Linked DNA regions of Mus musculus: regions 1, 2, 3, 4, 6 and 7 are each reported to be linked to region 5. The links are microRNA targets in miRTarBase. Many come from high-throughput screens and were not tested one by one. Region 5 holds a microRNA gene; each other region holds the end of a gene's coding sequence.

The links. Region 5 holds the annotated microRNA mmu-miR-7b-5p (UGGAAGACUUGUGAUUUUGUUGUU, at 2,121-2,144, opposite strand). A microRNA usually pairs through its seed, bases 2 to 8, with sites in the 3' UTR of a target mRNA and lowers its output. Matches are read on the target gene's strand: a 7mer-m8 pairs with bases 2 to 8, a 7mer-A1 pairs with bases 2 to 7 and ends in A, and an 8mer does both.
Region 1: miRTarBase lists Mtss2 as a target of mmu-miR-7b-5p. The part of its 3' UTR that is shown has no 7-base or 8-base seed match.
Region 2: miRTarBase lists Ppm1l as a target of mmu-miR-7b-5p. The part of its 3' UTR that is shown has no 7-base or 8-base seed match.
Region 3: the mRNA of Glyr1 is a reported target of mmu-miR-7b-5p. The part of its 3' UTR that is shown has no 7-base or 8-base seed match.
Region 4: the mRNA of Pbx3 is a reported target of mmu-miR-7b-5p. Seed matches in the 3' UTR shown: 7mer-m8 at 1,898-1,904.
Region 6: miRTarBase lists Magt1 as a target of mmu-miR-7b-5p. Seed matches in the 3' UTR shown: 7mer-m8 at 3,198-3,204 and 7mer-A1 at 1,713-1,719.
Region 7: miRTarBase lists Myo9a as a target of mmu-miR-7b-5p. Seed matches in the 3' UTR shown: 7mer-m8 at 2,033-2,039.

The regions. Positions count from the first base shown.
Region 1 is chr8:110,738,499-110,742,868 of GRCm38, reverse strand. Mtss2 (MTSS I-BAR domain containing 2) reads right to left here. Exons shown (of 14, transcript NM_198625.2): 14 at 1,468-4,370. The coding sequence ends at 3,792. Il34 (interleukin 34) reads left to right here. Exons shown (of 7, transcript NM_001135100.2): 6 at 90-225; 7 at 421-1,040. The coding sequence ends at 590. Among named protein-coding and RNA genes, the nearest start is that of Gm15894, 15 kb to the left of the region's middle.
Region 2 is chr3:69,552,617-69,556,986 of GRCm38, forward strand. It overlaps Ppm1l (protein phosphatase 1 (formerly 2C)-like), which reads left to right. Exons shown (of 4, transcript NM_178726.3): 4 at 212-2,788. The coding sequence ends at 558. Among named protein-coding and RNA genes, the nearest start is that of B3galnt1, 44 kb to the right of the region's middle.
Region 3 is chr16:5,011,640-5,016,009 of GRCm38, forward strand. It overlaps Glyr1 (glyoxylate reductase 1 homolog (Arabidopsis)), which reads right to left. Exons shown (of 16, transcript NM_001079814.1): 16 at 2,263-3,963. The coding sequence ends at 3,889. It overlaps Rogdi (rogdi homolog), which reads right to left and starts at 1,914. Exons shown (of 11, transcript NM_133185.2): 1 at 1,824-1,914; 2 at 1,664-1,735; 3 at 788-870; 4 at 602-656; 5 at 1-53. The coding sequence starts at 1,868.
Region 4 is chr2:34,169,050-34,173,419 of GRCm38, reverse strand. Pbx3 (pre B cell leukemia homeobox 3) reads left to right here. Exons shown (of 9, transcript NM_016768.2): 9 at 447-1,963. The coding sequence ends at 539. Among named protein-coding and RNA genes, the nearest start is that of C230014O12Rik, 64 kb to the right of the region's middle.
Region 5 is chr17:56,240,791-56,245,160 of GRCm38, reverse strand. Mir7b (microRNA 7b) reads right to left here and starts at 2,173; the gene lies at 2,063-2,173. It overlaps A230051N06Rik (RIKEN cDNA A230051N06 gene), which reads right to left and starts at 3,445. Exons shown (of 2, transcript NR_155493.1): 1 at 3,347-3,445; 2 at 2,356-3,005.
Region 6 is chrX:105,967,729-105,972,046 of GRCm38, forward strand. Magt1 (magnesium transporter 1) reads right to left here. Exons shown (of 10, transcript NM_001190409.2): 10 at 356-3,751. The coding sequence ends at 3,736. Among named protein-coding and RNA genes, the nearest start is that of Atrx, 41 kb to the left of the region's middle.
Region 7 is chr9:59,924,325-59,928,694 of GRCm38, reverse strand. Myo9a (myosin IXa) reads right to left here. Exons shown (of 44, transcript NM_173018.2): 44 at 1-4,124. The coding sequence ends at 3,664. The region is part of intron 2 of Gm20275 (predicted gene, 20275); the gene reads left to right. Among named protein-coding and RNA genes, the nearest start is that of Gm20275, 15 kb to the left of the region's middle.

The DNA of each region.
Region 1 (4,370 bases), not on the chromosome of region 5:
CCTGAAAGTTGGATTTTGTTGAGACAGCCGCCATGGTTCTCTGGTGGTGGGGTTCTTTTCATTTGTCCTGACTGTTTCCTCCCTCCCAGGATGTGGAGATTGGCCCTCACGTGGAAGCTGTGTTATCTCTTCTGAGTACTCCAGGCCTAAGCCTGAAGCTGGTGCGGCCCAAAGCCTTGCTGGACAACTGCTTCCGGGTCATGGAACTGCTGTACTGTTCTTGCTGTAAGAGGCTTCCGGTGGGCGTGGATGGCAACTGTGGGCCAAGGGATCTGGGTCCATGTGTGTGGGCAGAGTCAATCAGAGGGCATCCCCAATTTTCTGGAAGCTGGATTGGGCCCTGAGTATGGGGGCAGGAGTGTGTGGTTTGGCTGTTCTGTCCTGCAGACCTTGTTTTTTTTCTTCTTCTGTTTCTTGCAGGTAAACAAAGCCCCATCTTAAAATGGCAGGACTGCGAGCTGCCCAGGCTCCATCCCCACAGTCCGGGGTCCTTGATGCAATGTACAGCTACAAATGTGTACCCTTTGTCTCGGCAGACCCCCACCTCCCTGCCCGGATCCCCAAGCTCAAGCCATGGCTCGTTGCCCTGAGCAATCTATGTATTGACCCTGGGTCGGGCCACTGGATGCATTTCAGAAACTGGCCTGGATCTGAGACCTTCCTGGATGGTGGGTAGGTAGCCCCTTTAGGAAAGGCCTTCAGGGAAAGGCCTCCTGCCTTCTCTTCCACACCCAGGCTTCCTGCCTTCTGGTGGTATCACGGAGCCTCAGGGGAGGGATGTGGAGGGGAGGGCTGGTTGCTATCCCTTACAGCCACCTCTGCTTGTGGCCCGGTCCGAAATCTGCAAACACTGTTGCCCCACAGGCGGGTGGCCAAGAACGACGGGGTGCCTCCTAGGATCCCAGGACTTACTGGGGCTTTTCAGTTGTGCTGACTGTGGGGTGCTGGGCCGAGGACCAACCAAATGCCGTATCTTGCCATGACGATGCTCTTCTGGTTCCTTTTTCTATTAAATGGCCATTTATTTGGTTTGGCTTGCATCTCTGATGGTGAACCTGGAGGGTCTGAGTTCTGGAGATGGAAGGGTGGGCTTCTGGAGCCCACAGTGGGCAGTCTTACTGGGGTGGGGGTGGGGGTTGAGTACTTGGCTCTTCCGGCCCTGTTTAGCTCGCGTTGTCTCAGCAGGCCCAAGTAATGTCTGCTCAGGTGTCCAGGTGCCTCTTGACCATATTTCTATTTGTTCGCTTCCTCTGGCTTTCCCCACAGTCCCCGTGGGAGCACATCAAAGACCAACCTAGGTCCTTGCCCAAGTTGTCCCTCACCCCCCAACCCCCCGCCCCTGAACTTAAATCAATGACACCTGGCTTGGAGTTCCAGGCCAGGGATGATGACAAAGGTATGGCGCAGGGGTAGGAAGCAGAGGTGAGCGAAGCCGGCAGCCCAGGGGAGCCAGGAGGAAGCCGGGGCGTTAACTACAGTACTGCTTTATTAATACTGGGATCTTCACAGTGCATTTGTTACTTTGTAGCAGTGACTATTTAAATCAAGGAGAGGATGGAAACCGGGGTGGGCGGGAGAATTTATCCCAAACTTGGCAGAAAGAACAGAATAAAAGTGATGGGCTGGGGCTGGGGGTTAGGGGAGGGTGAGTAGGAACAAGGAGGGGCGGCAAAATAAATTAAAAAAAAAAAATACAAGTTAACAGCACCAGAAAAGTTACTTCAGTCAAAAGACACATTTGAAAAGAATGTTTTGCTGTACAAATGAAATGAAATAAAATAAAATAAAATGTACGTGAAGAAGCCCCCAAACCAGTCTGTGATGCAGGATGGTTGGCTCGGATCCCGAGGGCGGGCCTATGAGAGAGGTGAGCACTAGAGGAAGTGGTGGTTGGTGGAGGAGGATACTTGTGGGTCAGACAAGGGGATGGAATATGTACAGCCCTGGGGGGGAGGGGAAGGCTAAAACTGGGGGTGGGCATGCCACCCCATCCTCTTCCTGGGAAGTCCCTGGCCTCCCTTCCCATCAGGGCCTGGAGTCCTCAGATGGCAGTGAGCCCATCCTCTTGGACCCCCTTCTCTAGGACCCAACCACACCCTGGGTATAGGGACCACATCTGCCCACTTGACATCCTGCATCCCTTTCCATCAGCCTTGACAGCTCTTTTGGGGAAGATGCAGCCAAAATATGCCTCAGGGTTCCACATCTGGCCATTTGTTTTCCTGGACTCTATACTCGGGGCTCTGGTGACAACTGAGTTTGGTGGGCCAGGTCTCAGACCCTGGAGATAACTCGCTAAGCAGCCTCGGGGAGCCCTGTGGTAACTCCATCCACATACAGGAATCCCTGCTTTACCAGACCTACTGGGCTGCCCTGCACTGGAGCACCCATGACCTTGGGCCCAGGTCAGCCCCAACTCCATTCCTTCAAGACCAAGGTACGCTCTCTGGACTCCCTGTGGGGGTCGGGCAGAATGCTACCTTGGAGTCTGCTGCCTGCTCTACCTCCCGAATCTCTCCTCTGGCTTACACTTACGTGCTTAGTCTTGCTCAGACTTGGGCTGACAGGGAGGCAGGACCCACTCTTCCTCTGGTCCCTGCTGCCAGCCCCAGCTAGGCCTGTAGGCATAGACTTTCTTGGGATGGTGTTGCCTCTGGCAACAGAAAGTCAAACCAACCTTCTAATACTTGCTCCAAGCCGGGCCTGCAGCTTGCTCAGATCTCAACAGACTGGCCAGAGTCCCTGGCCTACCCTCACCAGCCTTATTCTACCGACACTTCAGACACTGGCGAGAAGAGCAGCTTCCCCCGGTTTGGGGGGAGTGATTCTACCCTTCTCTGGCCTCGAGCCCACTGAGGGCTCCCACACCCCTCTCTCAGGCACTCAGACGTACACCCTGTACCACCAGCTTGCCCCACATAGTTCTTTGTCTAGGGTCAGCTCCATTTTATTACAGTCATAAAATAACCCCCACACCATCTAATGCTCCAGCCCTTATCTCCAGCAACAGGTGACACTGTAACCCGAAGGCGCCCCTAGAGTAAAAGCTCCAAAGTGTCCAGACAAGAACAGGGCATCCAAAACACCTGGTACCTCTGGACTCATTCCCTGTCTGCCTTGCCTCACCCCACTAGTTACTCTTCACAGGGAACTGGAGGGTCCCCTGAGACAAGGCCCCTACGTTCCCTCCCTCCAGGGCTCTTTCCCATGAGCAAGCCTGGCTTCCCAATGCCTGACTGTCCCTAAACCCAGTCACACAAAGATCCTCAGCTGATTGGGTACCTGGCCCCTCCGTGACCACCCTGTGCCCCAAAGAGAGGAGCCTGGGAGAGGCAGGGCAAAGGCAAGAGGAAATGGGACAGGGTCCAGGCAGGGAGAAGAGGGAGCCAGCATTCAAGGAAAGAGCTGGGCATATGGCCCCGGAGGACAGCCGGGCCAGAGGAAGAGAGTTGTGGACCCCAGGCCAGGTAGGGCCCCATGTAGCAGGCCCAGCCCTTGGTTATGGGCTCTGGGGTTTGGATGTAGCAGGGCCTGGAGGAAGGAAGAGGAGGTTTGAGTAGGTAAGGAAAGTATAAAACAGGCTCTGTCCTGGCGAGGTGTGTGAGGGAAGTCGCTTCCCGCGAGATGCTGGGATCCAGCCTGGTTGTCTTTCCGTAAAGTGGCTGTGCCTCACTCCTGACGCTTTGCTTTCTGTCTTCTGGCTGGGCCGCCACTCAGAGTGGCTGGCCGCTGCTCACAGATCCGGTCACCTCCTTGTGCCAGGCCCAGACGGGGAGGGGTGGGCGGCACCATCATAAGATGCGGGGCGCCGACCTGTCGTTGGTGACGGTCCTGCGCAGCCGGACCCCGCGACGAATGGCCACCAGCATGTCTTCGGCCGGGGGGTCACTGGTGGCAGCAGGGGGTGGAGTGGGCGTTTCCTCCGAAGGAGTGGCTGACAGGGCGGTAGGGAAGGGGAACTGGCCCTCACCCAGGGCGTGGGCACCGGCCACCAGCTCCCCAAGCTTCTCTACTAGGCTGTGCCTGTTGGCAGCCAGTTGCTGCTCTTCGTCCTCGGTGGCCAGCCCGACCGCAGCCCCGCCGCCGTAGCTAGCTACCTCTGGGGACTGGCTGCCCCAGGCTGTGTTAGGCAGGCTGAGCCTCTTTGGGGAGGCTTTGGCCAGGTCTGGAGCCAAAGGTGAGGCCACTTCGTCTGTGTAGAAGACGCACTCCTCACTGCCTGCCCGTGTGGGCCCCACATAGCCAGGGGAGTCGGGCACGGTGGGTGTCTTCACAGGGACGATGGGTGGGCGGATGGGGATGGGGCCAGCGCTGGAGAGGGCGCGGCGCACAGTGGGCTTGGTAGAGGGTGTGCGGCGGATGGTGGCCAC
Region 2 (4,370 bases), not on the chromosome of region 5:
ATACTCTACCCTTAATATTATTGTAAGCATTAGCACTGCCAAGGATGAGAGCATGAAATTCCACTCCAGGCCCTACAGCAAGATGCTGGTGGCCTTGGCAGTGACGAAGGTGAAGGAGGGGTGCTTGTGGCTCAGCTCTGTTGCAGCAGACCAGCTTGTGGTACACTCACCCAGACCGGAACAAGCTAACAGGCTCCCTCTGTCTTTCCAGGTGGGTTCATCAGCTTTAATGGCTCCTGGAGGGTCCAGGGAATCCTAGCCATGTCTCGATCCCTGGGAGACTATCCACTGAAAAATCTCAACGTGGTCATCCCAGACCCAGACATCTTGACCTTTGACCTGGACAAGCTGCAGCCGGAGTTCATGATCTTGGCCTCAGATGGCCTGTGGGATGCTTTCAGCAATGAAGAAGCGGTTCGATTCATCAAGGAGCGCTTGGATGAGCCCCACTTTGGGGCCAAAAGCATCGTCCTGCAGTCCTTTTACAGAGGCTGCCCTGACAACATCACTGTCATGGTGGTGAAGTTCAGGAATAGTAGCAAAACAGAAGAGCACTGAACCCTGCCAGATCTCAGCTGCCCCAAACTAGAGGACTCTCAACATACTGTTCTCTTCATGTAGTAAAAGGTGTGGGTATAATTAGGATCATGCGTCCCAACACAGAACCCCCTTCCCTGATGGCCTTGAATCCCTTTGGAGTACTGAGCAGAGGGTTCCCTTGCTGACACCGCAGAGGCTGCTAAGTTTGTGTCCCCCCAGCCCTTCTATCAGTGTTTGAAACACATACATAGGTAGCCACAGATCCCACATATGAGGCAAAGGAAAGGCAGGCCATATGTTTTCCTTCTTAATAATGTACTTTTCATGATCTCTTCTGTGGTCCTTCAGGGACCTGACTTGGCGTCCTCTCTGAACCTGGGCAGGGCAAGCTGGTGATGCCAACACTTCACCATGACAATGAGGTGGCCATGCCCTCTGCCTTGAAGCAGTTTCCTCAGAAATGCTCTCCCCTTCTGAGTCTTGGTCTTCAGTACTCCAGCATCCTGGAAGGAGACATGCAACACTTTGTAATTTGTTGCCTGCTCTTAGAGACTTGAGAGTTGGGAAGCCAGTGCAGCTTCCTGCACGCCAGACCTCCCCGCTTCCGCTCGCTTCCTTCATTAGTTCAGTAGAGTCGGGATGCAGTTAGCCAGCCCTTACGCCTCTCATGGAGTGCAGCCTCGCCATTTGTTCACACCTTACGATGCATCGAGGGCTGCCGCTGACCTCACCGTGAGACGTGAGTTTTTGTCTCCCCTCACCAAGACTCCCCAGAGAGGGGAGGAAGCAGGACGGAAAGCACATCGCAGTACAGTATGCCCTTCCATCTTCAAGGAGGAATTAGGCTGGGATGGTTCTCCATGACCTTTTGAAAATTGCTGTCTGCACTGGAGAGGAAGGCAGGAGTCCTGGGGTCACCAGTCACACTCACCAACTGCTGGTTTCTGCACAGCCCTTCCCAAGCCCACCCTACCTAGTAGCTTTCATGCCTTTCAAACAGAGGTGGGAGAAACAGCAACCTAGAATCACCCACGGGTGCTGTTCCCAGCTACCACCACAAGTTGGTATCGGGGCGCAAACTACTGGGACGTGCTTCCTGGCAAGAGAAAGACCTTTCATGGTCAATTGCAAATCTCTGTCCATACCCAGGCAAATAGGAACTGTCTGCTGTGACCTGGAGGGAAAGAGCAGACTGGCTCCTGGGGACCTGTGTGCACTGGTTGGGAGTTCAAGCAGGAACCCTCAGAGATAAGCAGCAGAGTTATTTGGGGCCTAGATTACTGCTCTTCCCTTACTAACACCAAAGTTGTGGGGGTTTTTTTCCCAGTCTCTGTACTTTGTAAGTTAATTTATAGGACATATTAGATTGTCCTGTTTGCTGATTGAACCAGCCCCAAAGAGCCACGATTTTCATTGCAGACCTACACCAGAGCCGGCCTTGTTTTGTTCTCTCAGAGAGGCTGTGTGTCGGCATGACTTCTCAAGCCCTGCTCATTAGCTCTCCCTACCCCGGCCCTCTCCTTCAGCTGCAGAGCTTGTAGGAAGCCGAGTCTGGAGAATGAAAGACTTGGACTCTGAGGACTGCAAACTGTCTGGATTCCTCTGGGAACTTGCTTTCCTTTGGCTGCATCAAGAATTAATAATGGCTTCCCAGGAAATCTGCTTACTTTTGTATCTTGTGTTTTCAACATTGGAATTAGGGTCTTTTCTGCTTCTCAGAATGTTTTAGTACAAAACACATTCTATCATGTTAGACAGAAGCATTGATTGTGGAGAGACGTGCACTGATGGGTGTGTATTATGGGTTAGGTGGGTGGGGAACAGAGAAGTCAGGTGTGGGTTTAACCAGTGATGGGATGAGCTTGTTGGCTTAGGATGCTCTTACCAGAGAGTACCCAAAACCCATCTTCTAACTAAAGGTCCAGACTCAACAGCCTATACAGTCAACTTCCCTTCTGTATTTGCTTAACACAAAAGTATATAACAAGAGGAAAAAAATAAATAAATTTGAGACACAAATGTTTGGGTGAAGAAAAAAAGAAAACTGCCAAGTTAGTTGGTTGGTACTCCTTGAGCAAGCAGGGTTTCTTAACCAGCATTGCTGAACCCCCCTAGTTCCAGAGCCTTCTAACTGAGGTTTATAGATATAGATATTATAGATCGATCTTGTACATTTGATCTTGATTTATAGATCTTGTACATTTTGCTTTGCAGAAGTAACTTATTTAACCAAATAGGAAAAAAAAAAGAATATATTTCACTCCTTTCTTGCCTCTTCCCCCCTCCCGTGGCTTGTAGACTTTTTTAAAGATAGAAATTCTAGGCAAAATGGTAGTATTTTGATAAGTAGTTACACATAAGGCCAGAGTAGCTCTTCTCTGTCCCCTCCTGACCTGTGTTCAGCTGTGGGGAGTCTACAGTTTGGTGTGGGCTGGGTGCTCTGGCCACTCCCCTTCTCTAGCAGCTCTGGAAGGGTGACTCTAGCTGCAGGAGACTCGGGTTTGAGAGGGTACACGCGAAGCTTCCATAAACAGCACTGCCAAAGCTTTGGGACCGTGCCCAAGGCTACCCGGACTCCCTACCTAGCCTGAGTTCTAATTGCCAATAGTCCCCACAGTGCCAAACTTGGGAGAATGTTACAGTGTTTGAGGAATAAGTTGATGCCAGCCCCAGGCCCTCTTGAACCCTAGCCCTGCTGCTCCCCTGGCGATCTGTCCTCCTCAGGTGGGATAGGGTGAGAGGGCAGGGGCAGGGATTTTAAAGAACTCACTGCATTTGCAGTTGTTTAATCATAAAAATAAATTATACGGACCTAGAACAATCCAAAGCTAGTTCCTGAGACCTGTATTTCTAAACTGTGACCAGCTTTGCCCAAGCCCCTCTGGATCACTGTTCTACCATATGGCCGTGTGCACTCAATCCTGGTGGCTGGTACGCTCTGCCCCTTGCTGTGACTGGAAGGGACTGGCCCCTTGAATCTGGTGTATGTCAAAACATGACCAAGAGAAGGCTTGGTGACATAAGCACAGCTTCTGTGATGCAGGAGTAGTGACGTGGACATTTTGCACTGCCGCCGATGACAGCACGGGAGTGCTAGCATTGATGTTTTCATCCTCTGAGGAGGCTCCAGGGAACTGGCCGCACTGTTGGCCGGAGCTTCTGGAAATGCATGAAAGAGTCACAAAAGGAGTGACCTTTTTCCTCTGCCAGGTGTACTTTGATTTCCCTGTTTGTTTCTTCTCATGGTCCTCCTCTTCCTGATTTCAGAGATTTTTTTTTCCTTCCTTTGACCCAGGATTACACAGATCTCCCTGGAATAGTCGTCCAAAATAGCCTTTGTTTGTTACACCAGCACTCCTGATTCAGCTCTTTATGCTGGTCAGATAGGGTGGGGGTGGGCGGTATGAACTATGAACCCTGAACAGCCTCTGGTTACATCATTCTCATTTAGGACTTTGGGCTAGTTGGGTGCATCTTGCAGGAATAGAGGAATCTAGCGGTCCTCAACACGGTCCTCAACACAAGAGAACACGTATGCTAAAAATGTTTTTTCAGGTACATGGTTTTCTTGTCAGAGAAGTTGGGGGAACCATACTTCACAGTGCGAAATAAATTCATGACCAAGCTAAATGTCAAATAGGAGAGGAGAAAACGCATACAGAGCCCTAACAGAGTGTCTGTGAGCTTCATGTTTTCCAAATGAACTCGATCACAGACATGTCTGAGTGACCCTCCTGACATTTCAGTGGGCTCTTCATTACCACCTTGGAATGACGGTTTGTAAATCAGAAGCACTGAGCTCTCGCCTGCAAGGCTGGCTTACAGTAGAA
Region 3 (4,370 bases), not on the chromosome of region 5:
CGGAAGGCCAAGTGCAACAACTGGTTGTTCCGAGGCATCTTCAGGTTCACATCCTGTGAGCCAGCAATGCAGTGGGGGGATGGCTGAGGCCCTAGGCGCCTCAGCCAGCCAGGAGGGAGATAAAGAGGAATGTCAAGAAATAGGAACTCAGACCCAGGAAGAACCACAAAGTGGTGGTGGTGGTGGTGGTGGGGGGGGGGGCGAGAGAAGCTGAGAAAGGGGAAGAGCTGGACAGGAGGTAGTGGTGTAGTCTGAACCGTGGGGACGGGCTGTCCCCCAGGGCCTTTGAGGCCTTAGATCAGAGGGTGGTGGCTCATTCAACTTTGATGCGGGGCCAGCCTGCCTAGGCTTCCAAAGTTTGTATTTCACAGGGTCCAGATGCCAGGCTGAACTAAGTGTAATGCCATCAGGTTCTTGTCCTTCCCCTCCTGGGATCTAAAGCCTATCTCATGAGGTAGTGTGAGGGTTGCCTGTGACATTACAGACATACAAGGAAACAGGTCAGAGACAACAAGGGTCAGAGCCAGGGTCACAGAGCTAGCTGGTGGCAGAGCTAAGCCATCACCATCCTTGTCACCAGCTGGACTGTTGGGGGACTCACCGCTTGGCTGAGGGCATCCCCTTGCAGAGTCAGAGTCCCTTTCACCTGGTCTGTGCTGTAACACACACGAGTCAGAGGAGCGCCTGCTACTGCTCCCTCCCCTTGCAGGCTGCCCCACCGTACCCTGGGCATTTCCTCCCCCCAGGTGTACACCCCTTCCAAAGGCTCCTGCCCAACCCAGCTCACCCACAGCTGCCCAGGATGAAGTTCTCCTGCTTGGCAGGGCCCTCGGTGCTGGGGCCTGGGAGAGTGAAGCGGAGAGAGGCCTCCTGTGGAAGACAGCGCAGTCCCAACACCTCACCTCAGTCTGGCCAGTGTTCCATTCCAAGGCCTGGATACTTTGCCAGGTTAGCAGGGGAAGGGACGAGGAGGGCAGGCCTGACCTGGCCCCTCTGCCTCTGCCCTACTAAACCTCCAAGATTTTATGAGCTCAGACCCGTTCATTCCAGTCCTGAGTATATCATGAGCAGCCAGGTGGAACACAGAACAGAGAGGCACAGTGCCTAGAAAGCTGGAGTGCTGTGATATGTGTGGGGAGCAGAGTCCCCGAATCAGACAATCAGTAGTCACAGTAACAGGCTTTGCTAGGTTACTGTCCTAGGCATTCTGTGAGATAGTTTATTTATCTTCACAAACAGACGTGTGAGCCTGGTTAGGGTAAGGGAACAGGCTCAGAAATCCGGGTAACTTGGCTGAGATCACTTCAGAGCTCGGATTATCAGTGTTGTTTTGAGACTGTTTTGTTTGAGACAGTGTTTCACAATGGAGCCTAAGGCTGGCTTCTAACTCATGAACCTCTAGCCTCACTCTTCCGAGTGCTGAAATCACAAGCTTTCACCACTACCCTGCTTGCTCACAGATAAATGTCAGTTTCGAAGATAGTTCACACTCAAGACCTGGTGCCCACTGCTTGTGTAATTACATGCCAGCATGTCTGCGTCTGAACTGTACTCTCAGAAGTGGGTATCTGCACGGGTCACGCTCAGCATCTGCTGTGTGCGATTGGCAGGACCCGGTGGATAGGAAGGATGGCAGGCCGGGCGGGACCAGCGGGAGCGTTACCTTGAGGATGTCCTGCAGCTGTCTCAGCACGGCGTGCACCTCAGCGTGCAGTAACCAGCGAAACTCCTCCTCCTGCGGACAGCGCGGCGTCAAACCCATCCCATCCCCGCCGCCGGTCGGCTGGCCGCCCGCCGCCCCCTGCCCGCCGAGCGCGTCCCACCAGTACTGCCCGCTCCGCGGCGCTCGCAGCCATCGCGGTCGCCATCCTCCTAGCCGCGCACCGTCTCTGAGGTCTGTAGTCAGGAGCTTGGCGCGCAACGCCCGCCCCTTTTTCGCCTCCTCCCGTGACCGATTGGCAAATAGGGCACAAGCTCCGCCCTCAAGCCGGCTACGCCTCAAGCGACTGGCTGTAGCTTCTAGTCCTGGCTGGTGAGTGGCTAGACGGATAGGCCACGCCTCGCCTTCTATCCGCCCGCCTCAATCCCTGTTTTTCAGCAGGGACCCGGGCTTTGGCCACCACTGATTGGTCGGCGGGGCCGTCCATCAAGTTATTCCAGTATTGTCCGGCTAGATGGAGCCCGCCCAGGGTTCCACCGGGAAAGAATCAGGTGAGTTGGCTCCTACCTAGGTCCCCCTAGCATTTGGGTACAATGATACAGTTATGGTACCAAGAAATGTTTTATTTTTTTTTCTTGCAGTAGCTTTGTTAATTGCACAAAATCATGTTTTGTTTTTTTGCCATTTAAACATTATCACACAATCCTATTCTGAAAGACAAATGTTCATTAAAAACAAAGTGAAAATAAAAATTCACAACCGTAATCACCTAGATCTGTCATTTCAAGGAAAAGCGGGAGTAGGGGCTTTCTTACAAGCATTTCCACAGTGTCACATTTTCTCCATAAAAGGAAAGGGTTTCAAAATGAAAGGTGAAATAGCTTAAACAGAAATAGTCATAAAAAGGAACTTTACAGAATTGTCAACAATATTAAGACAACATTGACTAACCGGTTTTCTTACAGCATCTTCCCCACCCCCAGCCCCCAGGACCAAGACAGGCTGTGTCCAGACAGAAACTGTTCAGCATCCCAGTGAATGGACAATTGCACTGAACTCCACAAGCATCCCCTGCCCCGTGCCCATGTCCTGAGATCCTTATCCCAGATGGAAAAGTTAAATCGTGGCTTTGAAAATCCAAACTCATGAGGAGGAAGGCTTCCTCGGGTGATTCCTCTCGTGTGACATTCTAAGCCTCTCTGGTCCCCTCTTCAAGGAGAAATGCTTCAAGTCCCAAAAAACCCAGAACTTGGAACCACTGGCAGAAGTAAGGTTCCTCATCAAAAGCCCAGCCTAGGAAATGCTCATCTAGGAAATGCTTATTATTGGTGTTGATCAGGCTGGGGCTGGGTCAAAAGAGGATGGGACAGAAATATCTCCATGGAAGGAAAAGGGGAAGAGGGACATGCAGGGGACCTGTGTAGAGCAGGCTGAACAGGTAGCCCAGCTCAAGAGCCTGGCGTAATGGAAACAGGAAGGAGCCGCCCATACACTTCACTGCTCCCAAGGCCCTTACGGCCCCTTCCCTTGGGCTGGAATGCAAATCCAAATGAAACCTCCTGGGAGGAACAGGCTCAGGACAGAAGACTGTAGACTCTGCTCCCCCTGAAGAGGGGTCTATGTGGCTATGCTGGTCTCTCTTCAGTTCACAGAGACACTCTGGGAGCTGCGGTGTAATGGTAGTGTCTACAGGAAAATCCTCCTCAGCTGGTGATCCACAGAGCCTCCTCAGGGAATCTGTTGGTTCATGATGGCTGAGGGGCCTCTCCTTTCAGGGGCCCAGTGGGGGCCAGTCTCTGTCCTGGGGAAGTTGAAAGCTTCCAGTGCTCCCTGTCAATTCTAGTCCCTCCAGTCTCTTGACCAGAAGGGGGCTAAGCTTGCAAGAACAGCCAGGCAGCAGTTTCTGGGTAGCTTCTATCCTGGGTGTGTGTGTGACAGAGACAGAGAACACAGAGGAACAGAGAGAATCCACAACCTCCTGCTCCAGGGTCAATCAAGGCCCAGCTCAAGAGCTTCTTCACAGCCACCAGGAGAGATAGATCCTCTTATCCCTGGCCAGGGCCTCAGGGAGACAGGGTGCTGCTGTGTACTGTGCTGATGCAAGTTTCAAAGTCTGTATAAAAGGAAATGGAGACAGGTGACTGGTCCAGAGCTAGTCCCAGAACCCTGACCCCACACTGGGAGGGGAGGTCAGAGGGAAGATGGGAGGGTAGATGGGCAGGCAAGGCTTAGTGTATGTAGGCTCGGTACACGGCAGACATATCATTGTCAGACTGGTCCAGTGCCTTGGCTCTTTTGTATACCTGAAAAAAAAAAATAAAAGAGGTAGAGGTTGGTCTCTAGCTACAGAGCTACTATGTGGTAGAGCCCTGATTCCTGGAGCCATTTCCAGATGGTTCTAGCCTGTTGCTTAGCAGGCAGGACCTAGAGCTTGAGATATGTGGGTATGAATACTGGCTTGATGTGGAGCAGATGGCCTAGCCTGTGGGCTTCTGCCACAGCCCCACCTGAAGAAGGAACAGTCACAACCCTCATGGCTCTATTTATACGCAGACATGTGAAGTGCTCAGTGCTGTTAGGAGTCAAGGTGACAGCCCTCAATGCAGTCTTCCGAGGATGTTGTATTATACTCAGGATCACTGTGCCCTTTCTTAAAAAATGGCTGACACCTCCCAACCAACCTTTCCAAAGGCTCCTTTGTGCTCATCAA
Region 4 (4,370 bases), not on the chromosome of region 5:
AAGGGTTACACTAGCTGGCTGTCATGTGTATATGGGAGCAGCTTCTCTGGGAATAGTGATAAAGCTGGCTCAAGTGTCTGCTTCCTGGAGCGTAAGGTTGCACCAAGGCATCTTTTTGAGCCTTTCCACTGTACCTTCTGAGAGGTTGCTTTTGAATGGTGATTTTCACCAGCAGATCAGAGGCCAAGCTCCATGCCAGCCTGGGACTAGTTGAAGTCATCTTCACCAAGCTGATTTATCACTAAGTCTTTACTTGGTAGGATGGATTTGTTTCACATGCATTTAATTCCACTTTAACACATGCTTCCAACTCCTGCCAACGTGGGTTCAGAAAATACATCTTGCTAATGCGCCTTTGCTCTCCTGTTGTCGTTCTGGGTGTTCTAAATTGGGGAGTGGAATTAATATGTAGACGTATACCCACTGAACTGTACCTCTTCTTTCAGGCTAATGGAGGCTGGCAGGACGCAACAACTCCATCTTCTGTGACTTCTCCTACGGAAGGCCCGGGCAGTGTGCACTCGGATACCTCTAACTAATCCCCGGCGCTTTCCCAGCTGACATGCCTTGATAAGCGCATTTGGAGCACTAGGAGAAGGAAAGCGTTTGTAACCCACCACCTACAGCTTTACTGTAACCCTGTCTTCTTAGAGAACTCGGGAAACCTGTTTTTTAAGGAATCATAATCATTTGTATTTAAACTTAAGACACACGTTTAAAAAGAAAGCACTTTATCCAATTAGGCCAAGATGTAACATTGTTGACACTTCTTTAACTGTTTCATCCTAATTTATTATGGGTCTTTTACATTAATGGTTCCACAGTTGCCAGTTCCTTGGCCTTAAGGGTAAGAAGTACCATCTATGCTAGACCCCAATTATAGAGCAGGCAAGGTTCACCCTGCCTAAGCTGAACCCTTGCGGATTTCCATGCAGGCTCTCATCATCGTTCTCATATCACGGATGGGCTTGGAGGGAAGGCGATGTCTGCCTGTCTTCTTAAGGAAGGCATTTCAGGACTTCCCTTGCCATGTTTGTGTTGCCATCTCTTATGTTGTAATTAGGTCAAAGACTGGTGGCCTCCTTTCTCCCTCTGAAGTACCAGAGCCTGGAGTCTGCGCTAATGAGACCATGGATCCAGATTGCCCTAAGATGAAGATCTTGCTGCTACAGAGGTGAAAACAAGACCTGTCTGGGGTTTGACCGTGTGCGCTAGGTGCTGCACAGACTTGTCAAGGTGTGCTCTTCCTCTGGGCAGCCTGGAAAGGCCCTGCTCTCTGGAGTGCTGTATATAGTGTAGCAAAAGAGTATTTATACATCCCACCAATCAAAACACAGCTTTATTACCTCATGCGAACTCATACAAACCAATAGAATCCCAACATGTTCTGTAGCTTAGAGCGCTCACTTACTACCTCTGAACAATACTCACGCTGTAGTTTGTCTCTTTCTTATCTTTTTTGCATCTTGTAATTAACTCTTTGTTTCCCTTCACAAAATGTAATGTACATTGTAATCTTTTAAAAGAAAACTCAGGGTTGCATTTGCAACCCTTAAAAAGCCAAGATTGGCAACATTGGGTCTGACTCTTAACACAGGATCATCCAAGCTGTTGTAAATACTGAGAAGCGTTTTGAATGTTCTTCATCTTGTTACTAATCCATACAGAAGAAAAAGGAAAAAAAGAAAAAAAAAAAAAAGGCGGGTTCTTGTGATGCGTTCAGATTCAGTATTCAGCACTGTACATTTCACCCTGTGTGGCGGGCCCTCTCCTTCTCTTTTTGTATTGTATGCGATTCTGAAACTGACTGGGTCGTGACAATAATTTGTGGCGGTGATTCTGATGTATTAAAAGCGTTCCGTGTTCCTTTCTACTGGCTCACACCCTGGATTGAAAAGTCTTCCTTGTGGTAGTTATATGTAGTTTCAAACATGAATAAACTTTGCTTTCCTGATTAAACTTACATGCCATGTGTGTCTCTGTTCCTTGAGCTAACACAAGTGTGGGCGTGGGGTGGGGAGGATGGTACTTGCTGGGAACTGGGCTAGCAGATACATGGTCAGTGAAGGTGGAGGTGACAGTAAAGCTGTCGGGTGCTGTCCCTGGTGAAGCCTTAGACTGTTCACTAGACCATCTCACATCCCTTCACTTCCTGTGTTTATATACTGAGAAACTGAAGCACAGACCTGGGACAACCCAGGGCCCACCTTGACCCCAGGATTGCTACCCTCGGCACTCACGTTCCTCTGACCTAATAGCAGTTCTGGAACTTGCTAGATGGTCTTCTGAATACCAAGAGCTTTGTCCTGTTTATTTTTTTAGCCAGTTAGAGAGGAACAAAGGTTTGGAAAGAATGGGCCTCACGTGCCAATCAAAAGGCAAAGGCCCCTTACCCTTCTCCCTACTCTGTCTTAACATTCTGTTTGCAATATATACACCCAGCTAGACATTTTTAACAGATTGGACGCTATTTTTGTGTTACTCAGATTGTAATAAAGCCCATATATTTGCATACATGCTTGTCACTAATGTCCAAATCTTTATAATAAAAGAGGTCCATTGCAGATAATTGGCCTGTTTACTATATCTCAAGGAAATTGACTCACAGGAAATCAGATTAATGCTAATCAGTTGCAGCAAATGTCTATGATAAATATATCTGTTTTCCTATTTCAGCTGGTAGAACCAAGCAGAACAAGGGCTGGGGCCACCGCCCCCATTAATCTTACAGCAGTTATTTTGTACAGATAAACTTTATAAAATAGATTGCCCTCCACAGCTGTCCTCCCTCATGTGGGCGCTCAGCCTGCCCACAGGAATCTCTCCCATGGCTAAACAATTATTTGCATGATTCAATTAGCTTGTGGGTTAGCCTTTCTTATCTTTATACATAAAATAATCCCTGAGCTGTGTGGTTTTGCAAACTATATCCAGTGAAAATATCACATACAGATACACATACACAAATTCATCTTTCTTAGCATCCCCAGACACCCAAGGACCATCTTGGCTTTGTCCTGGGTCAGTCTGTTGAAAGAAACACTCAGTGGAACTTACTAGGGGTTCCTAGCACTTGGAAGGGATATGGGTAGGGTCTGTGGCTATATTCTGGGGATACTTACATAGGAAGAACCATCCTTCCAATTTGCTGGCTTAAAAGATGTTTGTACAATCTCCCTCCTTGCTCTTTACCTCCTCTTGGGGTGGGGGAGAAGAGCATGCCATTTAGTTTGGGACATTGGTATACCTCATTGGTCTTCCTGCCCAGCCTTCTGTGGCTCACAGGAATAGGTATAGTTTACAGGCTTGAAGAGCGTATGGGCATTGGCCCCAAGGACCTTATGTGGATTCAGCAATAGATTTTGAGTAGATTTCAGCAGCCACCTTTCCTGATCAAACAGTGAGTTAAGACCAGACCCAGAGTCAACTCAGTCCACCCAACAGGAGCTGGATCTCTGGGACCTTGCTCGGCTGGTTCTGGAAGCCAGTGTTTCATGGGGTGTTGGGAAGACAGGCAAGACCAACCCACTCACAGGGCCAAAAGGAATAACAGCAGAGTGAGGGGCCCTGCCCAGTGGTAGATGAATAAGAACATAGGTGCTTGTACAAGAATGTGTGCTCAGTGTCTGGGACCTCCACACCCCAGCAGCTGCTCATTTCTAGCAGGGTGTCATTCACACGAAGACACCATGTCCCTTTTCTCTGAATTGGAGAGGCTGTGTACTAGAAAAGTCTTTCTATGTGGAAAGTCATGTCAGGATTGGCTTCCTAGATATGGGGATGGGGGGGTGTGTAAATGTGTGCCATACCTTGGGAAGGAACCACCTTGGTTGGACACATGGCCTCTGCTAATTAAACATCTCTCATATCTAAGTCAGTATTACTAACTTTCCAGCTACCACTGGTGGAAGGAAACAGAGTCCCCAGTGAATGATAGCCATTATGCCTCTGTGTAAGGTCCTTTCTGGGATAAAGAAGCCAGGAGCATCCTTCCCTGTCCCCTTAGACTTTACAAGAATCGTGATTCATATCCGAATGTACTGAGGTATATGTGATGAGGGCACATTGTGTGATGTCACTTGTCTGCATCACCAAGTTAAACGATGACTGATAGAATCAGTGCTCTGGGGCTGGGTCAGGCCGGGCACCATGACTAGTGATAGGTAGAGCACTTTCTTAAGGCAGCCAGTGAGCGAGCACAGCGCTGGGACATGACCACTATGGGACCTCTATTGCTGCAGAGGTTCTGTGCCTGAACTCTGTGCCCTCACGGTGTCTTCAGGTCCCAGGATCTGCCCAATTCTTGTCAGTTCTACCTACAGCCCTCCAGGCTCTTGCCCTTTGCTCTCATGAGCTTTAACATAGGCAAC
Region 5 (4,370 bases):
ATCACCCAGTGAGGAGTTGAGGGCATGGTCAGGGGTGGAGCCCCACTTAGAGTCCCCCAGAAGAGATCTGTAAACATTCTGTTTGAGAGTATCAGCCTTTCCTAAATAGTGTGGCCGTTGCAGGAGGCTGAGAATGTTAACAAAGTCTTGTCCTAATTGACCAGTGAGGTAACAGGAAGTTTCTCCCACCGAGCTGAAGCCTGGAGAAGGCAGAGTTGGTTATGGGAGGTTATGTGAGTGGACTGTGCAGACCCAAGAGAGGAAACTGCATGGACAAAGCAGCCCCTGGGCTGCTGTGTGACTGAGTTTGATGTCAGCTTTACACGGGTGGAGCTTAAGGGAAGCAGGAACCTCAATTGAGAAAAGGCCTTTATCAGGTATTTTCATGATTAATGATTTAAGGCCATTGTGGGTGGTGCCATCCTTGGACTGGTGGTCCCAGATTCTATAAGAAAGAAGACTGAGCAAGCCAGGGGAAGCAAGTAAGCAACCAGTAAGCAACACCCCTCTATGGCCTCTGCATCAGCTCCTGCCTCCCGGTTCCAGCCCTGACTTCCCTCAGTGATGGAGTGTGGCCATCATTGTAAGCTGAATAAACTCTTTCCTGCCCTTTTCTTGAGTCAAGGTCCTGTCACAGCACCAGGATGCACACTAGGACAGCTGGGGAGAATTGCACAGTGGGGGATGGTTAGTGACTGCATTAGAATGTCACAGATGATAGGTGTTGAATGTTAAGAATGCCATGACCCACCAGACAACAAGTCCACATTTTCTTGGTATCAGTCATGCAACTAGTGGTTGCTTTGTGTGGCGGGCACAGAGTTTTATTGAAAATTGGGCTGGGGCTCCATGGGTACCGTACCCAGTCAAAGCATTTGAAATTCTGAATCCAACACCGTGTATGCTAGGCATGGTTCTCAGGGACTGGAGGCAAGAGAACTCAGTGTTCAAAGCCATCCTGGGCTACATTCAGAGTTAGAGAAAAGCCTGGACTACAGGTGACACTGTCTCAAAGCAGGCAAAGTGAAAAGAGTGAGGAAAAGAAAACAAGAAAGAGAAAAGAATTTCAGGGTTTTCTAGAAGTACCTTTGATGCCAATCCCTCTTTTAAAAGTTTTATGGCCGGGCAGTGGTGGCGCATGCCTTTAATCCCAGCACTTGGGAGACAGAGGCAGGGAGATTTCTGAGTTCGAGGCCAGCCTGGTCTACAGAGCAACAGCCAGGTCTATACAGAGAAACCCTGTCTCAAAAAACCAAAAAAAAAAAAAGTTTTATGTATGCACATGCTTTTAATTCAAACACTCAGGAGGCAGAGGCAGGTGGATCTCTGAATTTGAGGGTAACCTGGTCTACAGAGTAAGTTCTAAGACAGCCAGGTTTATATACAGAAACCCTCTCTTTTTTTTTTTTTTTTAAATGTAATTCTTTTTTTTTTTTTTAAAGATTTATTTATTTATTATATGTAAGTACACTGTAGCTGTCTTCAGACACCAGAAGAGGGAGTCAGATCTCATTACAGATGGTTGTGAGCCACCATGTGGTTGCTGGGATTTGAACTCTGGACCTTCGGAAGAGCAGTCGGGTGCTCTTACCCACTGAGCCATCTCACCAGCCCCAGAAACCCTCTCTTAAAAAAAAAAAAAAGAAAAATTTTTATGTGTGTTTATTTATTTGTGTGTGGAAGCATGTGTGTCACAGGACATGTATGGTCAGAGGACAACTTGCAGGAGTTGGTTTTATCCTTCTACCCAGTTGATCCTGGGGCTCAAGCTTGGGTTCCCTAATTTCAAAGCACTCTTTCCCTCTGAGTTACTCCACTGGCTCACCATTCCCTATTTGAGTCTCCAGAGAAAGCACGGTGCTGTGACCCAGGGCCCTGAGGTTGTGTCTCTGATCCTATCATGTAGATGTGTTTGAGTGACAGGCCAATAGCATGGGAAACACTCCTGCACTCTCCCAGGGCCCGAGACCTTGCTAGACACCCTCTCCTGTCCGTGCTAGACTTCCCTTAACCCCCTCCTGTCCCAGTTTCCTGCCCCTACCTGTTTGTGTATTTCAGGAGAAAGGTGATAGGAGTCCACGCTATGAGGCTGGCTGTGACTTGTTGTCATATCATATCAGAACAACAAAATCACAAGTCTTCCACATAGCACTGGCTCACGTACTCCGCTCCTCGTCCTCATCCTCCTCCGCCAGGTTCAACACCCTCAAGTGCTTCTCTCTCTCTCTCCATAGAGGATTGAGCATAACAAACCCCACTCACTGACTTACCCTCCCTAGACATCCCTTTTCCATTCCATCCCCTGAGACACAGGCAAGATTCATTCTCTACCTGCCCCCCAACTCACACCCTGGCACATCACCAACGTGGGATTTATTGTTCCAGGCACGAGGAGCACACACTTGTCACCCCAGCACGCAGGGAGTAGAGGCAGGAGGATGAGAACTTCAAGATCATCTTTGGCTACACAAGGAGTTCAAAGCTTGGTCTACAGTGTTTTAAAATAATAATAATTATATATATAATTGAGAGAAAAACTCTTTTTAAAAATAAAAAGAACTTGAGATTTAAAGTTGGATTGAGGCTGGCTTTCCCCTCACCACTTCACTTTGGAAATTAGTACACCCAGAGGCACTCATAACATCTCGTTGACCAAATGCTTCGCCTGTACTCTGTGAGTTTGAAGCCAGCCTAGTCTACATAGTGAGTTTCAGAACAGCTAGAGGTACACACAAAAAAACCCTGTTTCAAAAAAGAAAAAAAAAATCCCTCCGTAAAGGACAAATGCCAAGAACCATTAAGAGGTTCCTTCCCTGTACACTCTCCGCCAGAACAGACCCCAAGGCGATCCCTGAAGCTGGGTGTTGAGAGCTTGGCACTGCCAGGGGCCGGGTGCTGAAGCCTAGTCTCTTCGTGACCCGCTGGGAGCTGTCCGAAATCCTGGTGCTGAAGCCGAACTCTGCTCCGAGTCCCTCAGCCGGATGGCGCTGTCCGCGTCTCCAGTGCTGAAACATAATTAGTTATTGGGGGAGGGGGTGGTCAGTGCGGCTCGAGGACACTCTCCCAGCTTCTGCCTTCTGCCAAAATGCCCCGCTCCTTGTTTCTGTTCTTCGTCCTAGGGACCCATCTTCTGTTTTAATCTCTTCCCATGGACCCGGGGTGTTCTAGGCGGGGACGAAGGCGCAAGGCTCTCACCTGCTCCCACATCTCAGGGAGACAGCCCTGGGTTCTCTGCCCTTCCTAAACAGTCCAGTTGGCCTTCTGGAAGATGTGCCAACTTGCATTGTACCCAGAGTCCCCGCTTCCCTCCCTCAGCGCACCTTTTCCTCCTTCCTTCGTGCCTTACCTTCTCCTGCTCACCAGCAGCTGCAGGTGTCTCGGTGGCTGTCCAGTTTCCGACGTTTCACCTTTATGCGCTTAAGGGGAAGGCGGAGCGCTGGAAACCCTGGGTGGGGCTTAGCCAGTGAACCAATAGGAATCGTCTTGGAATGAAGCTCCAAGGATTACCTCATAGGTTGAGGCCTCGGCTTCAGAATAAAAGTCAGGCATCCGTCCAAAAACTTCTTTAGGGGTCTCCAGAAGGTGTCAGGGTGTAGTCCTGTGGCCTGTTAAGTTTCCACGAGAGGATCATCTAAAACCTGATCACTGAGTAGCCAGAGGATTAGCGATCATCAAGCGTGTGCCTGCTGGGACAGAGAAGCTGAAAAAAAATGTTTGAAGAAATTGAGGGATTTTGAAAATAAAGTCCAATTCTACACAGGGAAGATGAAGTGTGCGGGAATGAGACTCACAGAAGCGTAGGATAGAGGCGGAGCTCTGGCGATTTTTGTTTTGTTTTGAGTTAGGGTCTTGATTTGTAGTCCATGATGACCTCAAACTTATGATTCTCCTGCCTCAGGCTCCCATCAGGAGTTTGCCTCCACACTAGATTGATGCAGTGCTGGGAATGGAACTTAGTGCTTTCTGATTGCTGGGCCAGCGCTCTGTCCCTGAGCCCTAGTCACAGTTTCCCCCCTCTAACACAGTCTCTCTCACTTTTGTGATCCTCTTGCCTCAGCCTTCTCAGCACTGGGAAGGCTGGTGTGTGGCACATCACACACCTTCATTTACATAGCTTCCTTTGTAGCACCAAAGGGACAGACAGTCAGGGAGGACACACACTCAGGCTTGTAAATCTCCTACCAGCTCCTCAGGCTGCGGAGCTGGCAAGCCAGGTTCATTCTATACACCCTAGGGGCATGGGAGGAGGGGCTGCAGGGAACCTGGGATGAGACCCTGGAAAGCCACCTGCAAGATCTAAGCTCTGATCAGTTGTCCCTTTCCCTTCTAGCAGTCTCTTGGGTAAAACTTGCATGCCCCACGCCCTTTGT
Region 6 (4,318 bases), not on the chromosome of region 5:
CTTAAAAAAAAAAAAAGAATCCCCCTTTGGTATTTCATGTTGATCCCTCTGGAGAAATGTGCTGTGGTTTGAACATGAAATACCTTCACAGGCTCATCTGCTAGCTAGTGGTAGTGGTTGGGAGGTTGTGGAACCTTCTAGAGACAGTCTTGCTAGCGTACATCACTGGTCTTATTCTCCTTCTGCTTCCTGACTGCCTGAGGGCTTCATGCTGCAGCTGCCATGTCTTCTCTAGATATATTCTTTTCCATCTTTGAGCCAAAATGGGCCGTGTCTTCCTGAAGTTGCTTGAGTCAGGGTATTTTATAATAGTAACAGAAAAGTAGTGACAATAGAGAATAAAAAAACCATGTAATTTAGATTGTAAAAGTTTATTGACAGAAAGCAGTAAGCCAGACATTTGGTTATCTTTGCTATAGTATGTATCATTTTTGAACAGTATATTAAAAATACATAATGAATTATATTCAAACCAGTACTAGAAAAGTAAATTAAGAATCTACTTAAGGCACTTCAGATAAAAGCTAAATTTAAAATTTCCACAAAAGTAACACTATTTTAAATGAGAAAATCTGCTTTTCACAGATTTTAGCCAGAGCAAGCCTTTCTCCATACAAGAATGTTGCTCTTAAACAAGGAGAAAACACACAAAACACTGGCCACGGGAGGCACCAGCAGCTAGAGATAACACAGTAGGAGTGTTGCCCAGTTCAACTTGACAAGTCTTCACACTAGTTTCCTAAGAATCACAGCGTAAATTCATTTGGCAGAGACAAGTACATGAATAGCAGATAAGAAATTAAGAATCACTCAATTTACAAGGAATGATCCTTCTAGTCATCAAATTTGTAGCAACCACAACAAATCACCCCCAAATTTTTTTCCTGGGTCAATTATGTCCATCTCTTTCTATAAACTCCATTATATAAGACATGGGAAGGCTATTGCATGATCAATAGCAGGGAATAGTCACAGTATCTTTTCTTGTTTTTTGTTTTGTCTTTGGGATAGAGTCTTTATGTAGCTCAGGTTGGCCTTATACTCACGCTATGCTCAAGGATGAGGGTGAACTTCTGGTTCCCATCTGTCTCCCGAGTGCACTGGGATAACACACATGTGCTTACACCCATACCCGGCTTATGTGATGTTGTGGTTTGAACCCATGGCTAGGCAAGCACTGTATCAACTCAGTCACATATCCATGTCTATATTTTAAATGTAGTTTCTAATATGTCTTTCCATTTTTCAGTTACATTCCTAGATTTTTGTGGTATTTGGGATTGAACCCACAGCCTTTTAAGTGCTCTAGCACTGAGCTCCACTCCAAGCCTCCTGCCTTCTCTCTCTCTTTCTTTCTTTCTTTCTTTCTTTCTTTCTTTCTTTCTTTCTTTCTTTCTTTCTTTCTTTCTTTCTTTCTTTCTTTCTTTTTTGAGACAGGGTTTCTCTCTATAGCCCTGGCTGTCCTGGAACTCAGAAATCCGCCTGCCTCTGCCTCCCAAGTGCTGGGGTTAGAGGTGTGCGCCACCACTGCCCGGCCTAAGAGTACACTTTCTTAACAGTAGCATTTTGGATCATTTATTTATTTATTTATTTAATGTACAGTATGTAAGTACACTGTAGCTATCTTCAGGTGCACCAGAAGAAGGCATCAGATTCCATTACAGAGGGTTGTGAGCCACCATGTGGTTGCCGGGAATTGAACTCATGATCTCTGGAAGAGCAGTCAGTGCTCTTAACCACTGAGCCATCTCTTTAGCCCTGGCAAACCTATTTTTTTTTAAAGATTTATTTATTGTTATATGTAAGACACTGTAGCTGTCTTCAGACACACCAGAAGAGGGCATCAGATCTCATTATGGATAGCTATGAGCCACCATGTGGTTGCTGGGATTTGAACTCAGGACCTTAGGAAGAGCAGTCAGTGCTCTTAACCACTGAGCCATCTCTCCAGCTCCCTGGATTATTCTTAATAACTATGGTGAAAGCCAGAGTCAGCCATATTATAACCATGATTTAAATATTCCTCATAGAAAACTGGTTAGCATATATGGTTATTTTCACTACCAGGAAAAAAAGATAAAATTCAAACAAAATCCCTTCATAGTTTTCTTTTCTGACATATTTTTGAGATGAGGTGTTAATATGATGCCAGAATGTGTCAAGTTCTTGGTCTTCTTGGATTCTACTTCAGCCAGCAGGGTAGCTAAGAGCAGAGGCAGGTGCCTGCTACCATTCTTTGTATCTCTAATTGACGGGGTAAATAAAAAGCTAAACTGATAGCAAAAGCAGATTACAGTCAATGGTGGCACAAGCCTGCAACCCCAGCACTTGAGAAGCTGAGACAGGAGGATGAATGTGAGCTGAAGGCGGGACAGCTCTCCCTAAGAGAGGTAAGAGCAGCGAGAGCTCTGTCTCAAAGACAGGTTTCAAGAACATTGCTTTTAGAAAACCGGCACACAAAAACAAAAATGAAAACAAGAGCCATAATAGGTTTCAAGAAACACTTATTTTAAAAAAATAGCCCCATGTTTTACGAACATGTGTTTTAAAAAACAAAAGACCAGGTTTCAAGGAACAGTCCTTATCAAAACAAGGAAAAATTCACAGACCAGGTTTCAAGAAATCTTTCTAAGGCATTGGGATTGAACACAGAGTGTAACTCTTGCTAGGCAAGCACTATACCTCTGAGCCCCAGCCTCAGCTTGAAAACATGCTACTTTTCTTCCTTCCTTCCTTTTTTTTTCTTTTCCCCTGGATACAGGGTCTCACTATGTAGCCCAGGCTGACCACAAACTCACAGAGCTCAGCCTTCATCTACCACAGCCTGGCAAACCATTTCATTTCTGTACCTAGGCAACAAATCAGTATTTCATGATTGTGTTTTCTCATTCTTCTAAGGGAGTCCTTTCCATGAACACAACTCAGCTTATTTTTCTGTTACATAAGAATGAAATCAATAACAATGCGTAACTTACACAAACATTTGAGACCATTTATAAGTTATACTGATTTTTAGCAAGAAACTATTATTGTTAGAGAAGGGCTACTTTAAATAAAACTAGAAACAGAATGAGAAATCTTTCCATGTACAAGGTAGTTATAGCACACTCATGCACAAATCATAGTCTTTAGTTAGAGGTACTTCTGAATGTGTAAAAGGAGGCATATATGTAGCTGATTTCAGGTGGAAAGACACAGGAAGACATGTATCTTTCCAAAGGCGACACGGTCCATTTTCAGATGACACAGTGTATATGATACCTGGGCCCAAGAGGAAAGGTCTGTAAAGCACACACATCTGCACAAAGAAGGAAAAGGAACAATGGCTTCCAGATGCAGTTGTTTGCAATAGGCAGAGGTGGAGATTCCTGCTCAGAACCTTCCATCCCCAACCTTAGATGAGATAAAATCAAGTTAACTATAGTAGTTTTGAGTTTTTCTCTAAGTAAAATGAAGTAGTAGTTTTAAATGTTTATAAAGTACTTAATACTACAAACCCCAAATGTTTCCTAAGTTCATTGGGAAGGGAAGGTTAGGAGGAGCACAATTCCAAACACTTCATGATCTTTACAACTGCTTGTTAAGGCACTACACATCTTTGGTTTAATGATTAACTACTTAGATCACTTGACAAAAAGAGGTAATATAAAATATGTGAGTTGCATTCTTCAAACACCAAATAGTTTTTATTTTTCAGTTTCCATTACCAGTGTCAATGTTTCTCTGGAATCCTCTTTAACTCATCAGAAAGCTGAAATAAAATATATATCAGTATATTAGTCTCTGAAAGGAAACTAAGTTTTACTTTTAGTATAAAAGCAGGTTTATTGTGTGGGGGGTAGCAAGGACCTGGAAAAGGGGTAGAGGCAGAGAAGGACAGAAGAAGAAAAAAGGCTGGCTGGGAACACATGAGAAGAGAGAGGAGAATAAGAAGGCTTTACTTTTTTTTTTTTTTTTGGTTTTTCGAGACAGGGTTTCTCTGTATAGCCCTGGCTATCCTGGAACTCACTTTGTAGACCAGGCTGGCCTCCAACTCAGAAATCCGCCTGCCTCTGCCTCCCGAGTGCTGGGATTAAAGTGCACCACCACGCCCGGCTTACTTTTTTTTTTTATTGTTTTTTGAGACAGGATTTTTTTGTGTAACAGCCCTGGCCGTCTTGCACTTGCTTTGTAGACCAGGCTGACCTCAAACTCAAAGAGATCTGCCTGCTTCTGCTTCCCAAGTGCCGGAGTTAAAGGAATACGCCACCACACCCAGCTAAGTTTGACATTTTATAAATACATAATATGTTGATTTTAATATATGTACCATGACCTA
Region 7 (4,370 bases), not on the chromosome of region 5:
GAATGTAATCAGTTCTGTGAATAAGTCATTCTTATAGAATTCTTAAACAGTAAAGTGGCATATTTCACAGGTTGTGTCCTTTTATAATACACAGTATTTTAAAACTTTACACTCACCATACTTATAAATTACTTTGAGTCCATTAAAATAATATAATACTAATCTGTAGTCTACACCTTTCCCATAGTAAATACAAATACTTGGTTCAAGAGGTGCAACTCTTATATGACCTAAGAGGGCTGATAAATAGGCATTAAGAGTGGACAGGTGACAAGGTGACAGACCCATTGCTAGGGCTTTTTTGAAGTTTAAACCAGGAGATCAGTAAGATCTAATACACTGGAGATTACCCACTTAACACCAAAAGTGTGAGAATGTTCCAGAGAAATGTGGTCTCTTAGGGATGCAGAAAGTCAGGTCTTCTACAAATACCTAAAAAATTTTACTACTAAGGCCAGCATGGTGTTGGGACACAGTGCTAGGAAGTTATCACAAGTGTGTGGGTGCATATAACACACCATTCAACACAGAAGAATGCAGGGCCCACATCTATTTCCCCACCAAGAATTTTTAAAGTGAGAAAGCCATCTGGACAAACTTCTTTCTCCAGTTATAACTCTCAGCGTCACACACCTGAGAATCCTTCCTTCGCTCTAGCTTATTAGTTACAGTTGAAAACACAGCTCACAGGCACAAAGGTGGAATGATACAGCCTCAATGTATCACCTCATATGAGCACATTTCCGTGACACTGTCTTTGATTGAGACACAGAACAGTCTTCATACCCTATGCAAGGTGAGAGTGATAGGTTTCCAAAGCCTGAGAGCTGGCCCTAGTGACCTGTGCCCTGAACTCACATCCTTTTGTCTCTCCTAGCAATACTCATATCTCCGTTTGTGTGTATGACCTAGAATGGTCATATAATCAAAATGGCAGGAAGTACAAATATGTGCAAACTAAGTGTGTCACCTCCCTGAATCCTGCCTGCATTTGCTGTAATTTGCTTCAGTCTGTGATGCAAAATGTATTGTTTGCTTCTGCTACATTTTCTATGACACACAGCTACAGACACATATTAATGAGTAGGGAAAAATGTAGGAGTTATTGTGGACTAGAAGTATGTGACATAACTAGGATGCTCTGAAGTTTGGAGCACAGGTTCCACATGTGAGACACTCTGCTGCTGCCAGAGAGTTTCTTTTGGTGCATTTTAAGACTGAAGAAAAGCAGCTAGACAGACATAACAGTGAACTCTATGTGGATCTGTATCATGGGTGAGGATTCAGAGGCTCTGTTAAGAACTGATGGAGCCAGACATCTGACACTACTGAGTTATGGCTTCGTCTCTATCAGATCAATAGTGCCTGCTAACCCAAGAACAACAGCACTCTTTTCCTTACAGGGACCTACACTTTGCCGAGACATTCTTATAGTTGTGTGGATTTCCCCCACCCATCCTGGCGGCTTGTTAAATGATTAAAAAATCCACAAATCTAGCAAATGAAAAAAAAAGTTTTTATTTAACTTTATTCAAATTCAGGTTTTAGGTCCCTGAGAAAAATTATAAAGTCTTTAATATTGATTACCTAGTTCCTACAAGGTGACCTATGTAGGTAGGTTGGTTTTTTTTTTTTCTCAGCCCCAAATTTACTTTATAGAAATAATAAAAACAAAAAACTGAGCTGTAAAACTTTAGGAGGGAGAATGTGTGTCAAGTGCTGAGTTCCAGGACATTCCTCTGAAACAAAGGAAATTGTTCTGAGCCAAGTGGAGAGCAACAGTTAGCAACAGTTACCACCCAGTAGCAGCTACTTTCCCCAAATACTATAACAGACTGTATAGCCAGAAAGGCCCAAAACAGCACCCCACCATATCACAGCCATGCTGGCTTCCTGTAGAACAGTTTCCAAAACTCTTATTGTTAATGCTGGAGGGATATAAAAGTTAGCATTTACTGAATGACCATCATCATCGGGGAGATTTTCAAAACTTCCTTCATGTGTCTCAATGCTGAACCCATACCATGGAGAGGGAAGACTCCAGCCACCATGAGCTGCTGTGCAAAATAATGCTACAAGTCTCATCTCTAGAGCCGGCCAATGACCACTATTGCAGTGGCGTGAGGTTCAGTGTTGTGTAGGAGGAGAGACCTTGCCTTAACAAAAGACTTCTATTCCTGTAACTTCAAACCAAAAAAGGAGAAGGAGGAGAAGGAAAAGAAGAGGAGGAGGAGAAAACCAAAATTCAGGTTATGGATATTAAAGGCTCTTCTTGTAACAGTGCATGTGGTAGTTAGACAAAATGTATTTAGTGACTTTAAAAATAAACATTTCATATACTTAAGAAATGGTATCATGTTTCACTTCACATAACATAAATAGCAAAAACAGAGTTCTAGTCCCACAATTGCTAGTACATGATGCTTCTGACATTATAACTTATGGAAACTACCAGTGATGAAAAAGATGCCCTTACTTATTCCTCACCCCGGGGGTGAATGGCTCTCACCACCTGTCTAATGGCCTCTTATCTGTAGGGAGAAACTCAATGGGAATAAGGGGAAAGCACAAGGTTAAAAAGAACTAGGCATATTATACATGTGTATTTACAGTAAACTTCAGGAACAAGAATATTAACAAAAATAGCTTCAAGTAGTCCTTGATTTTTTTCATCTAATACTGATGGTCTGATAAGAAGACAAAAATTAAATAGATCATATTTAAACTTTCTAGACTTCTTTTGGCGGCTTTTTCTATAACACTCATGCACAGTTGTATGTATGTGAGTACTCCTAGATAAGTGATGAAATGGTTACATCTATGGTGGTACTCCACCAGCAGATGAGTAGGCTCGGATACAGTCTTCAGTTTATACAAAAAGAAAAGCTTGGATCAATCAGGATGATGCGTTCACATTTAGGAATTACCTAAATGTGCCTGTGACATATTTCAAACAAAAACCTAGAGGAGTCTGATCTATAATCAGGGCATACCAATACAGTATGGCTACCAGAACTTTACCCCATGAAATATATTTGGCAGGAATTAACCAAGCGTTAAACCAGCACTGACTATAATACCAAATATCAACAAGAGACAAAGCATGGTCTCTTCACATTCCTGTAGCTGAGACACTCTGGGCTTAATGGAAATCAGTTTAGGTTTCCAAAAGATAACATTGAATGTTTTGTAATTAAATTTAAAATAGAGGGCTTATAAATCCTTGGGGAAATTTTTATATTCTAACACAGTTCCTAACTATTCCAATACAAACTCAAAAGCTTTTGTTTCCATGGTTAACAGAGGTTTGTATGTTTTCTTTAAATGCTAGAAATGAGAGCATACCTCAGGATCACAATAGCTCCCTAGTTCAGCAACTATCTGTGGGAAGGGAAAAGTAGGTGGGCAAGAAGCAACTATTATTGGCCAAAATCCCCCAGGTCCCAGGTGGCTTTGTTCAGTGGACTCTCAAATCAAATACAGCAGCCAAGGCACAGCTGGCCCATCCCTAGCAAACTTCAAAGCGGCCACTTTTGCCAGAAGCCCAGTGATCCAGCATACAATCTGTCTGCTGAAACGAGGCAGGACCATTAGGACCGACTGTTACAAACAAGGTGACCAGAAGAGGCCCCAAAGATGAGATCTGGGGACACATCTGTCCATTTAGACCATAAACTCATTATTTCCAAACAGTGGTAGTTGCTGTGTGGAGCTGCAGTCTGAGTCCACAGTTTTCTTTCGGCCAGATGTGACTGTCCCCTCTGGGGTCTCTTTGGTTTTCTGAGGTGAGTTTTTCACATTCTTTAGTTTTTGTTTGCCCTTTTCAGGGTTGAAGGTTCCTCTGCTGATGAACTGAGGCCTGTCTTCTAGGGATTTGGCTTGGCCTAGCGGTCCTTCCGTTCCCTGGGCCTCACAAGCTGAAGCAGCTCGGTAAAATGGAGACTTGGAATAAATCTGAAATCGCTTTCTAGTGCCATGAGATGATGTAGTGTTTGATAGACATGAAGAAACGGAGGAGCTGACGGAGTCTAGAGAGTCTGGCTGCTTTCTTAGCTGCTTCCGCGACTTGCTTGAAGGTTCAGACTTGCCAGCTGCTTTCAGGGAGCTAAGGGCTAAACTTCTCTCTAAAAACAGAAAATAAAGTTGTACATAATAGTGTCTACCTATGCAACATCATGTAATGAAGCTACTGTTCACATGTGAAACTGAATGGGTAAAAAGTTCTGAGGATTTAGTCAATCTCTTTTGTGCAGAATCATTATTGTAAAAGCTGTCTTGGAGCTGGCCTCAAACTTACAGCGATCTGTCTCCTGAATCTGGGATTAAAAGTATGCACCACCAACCAGACTGAACCTGAGAAAGTTTTTTTT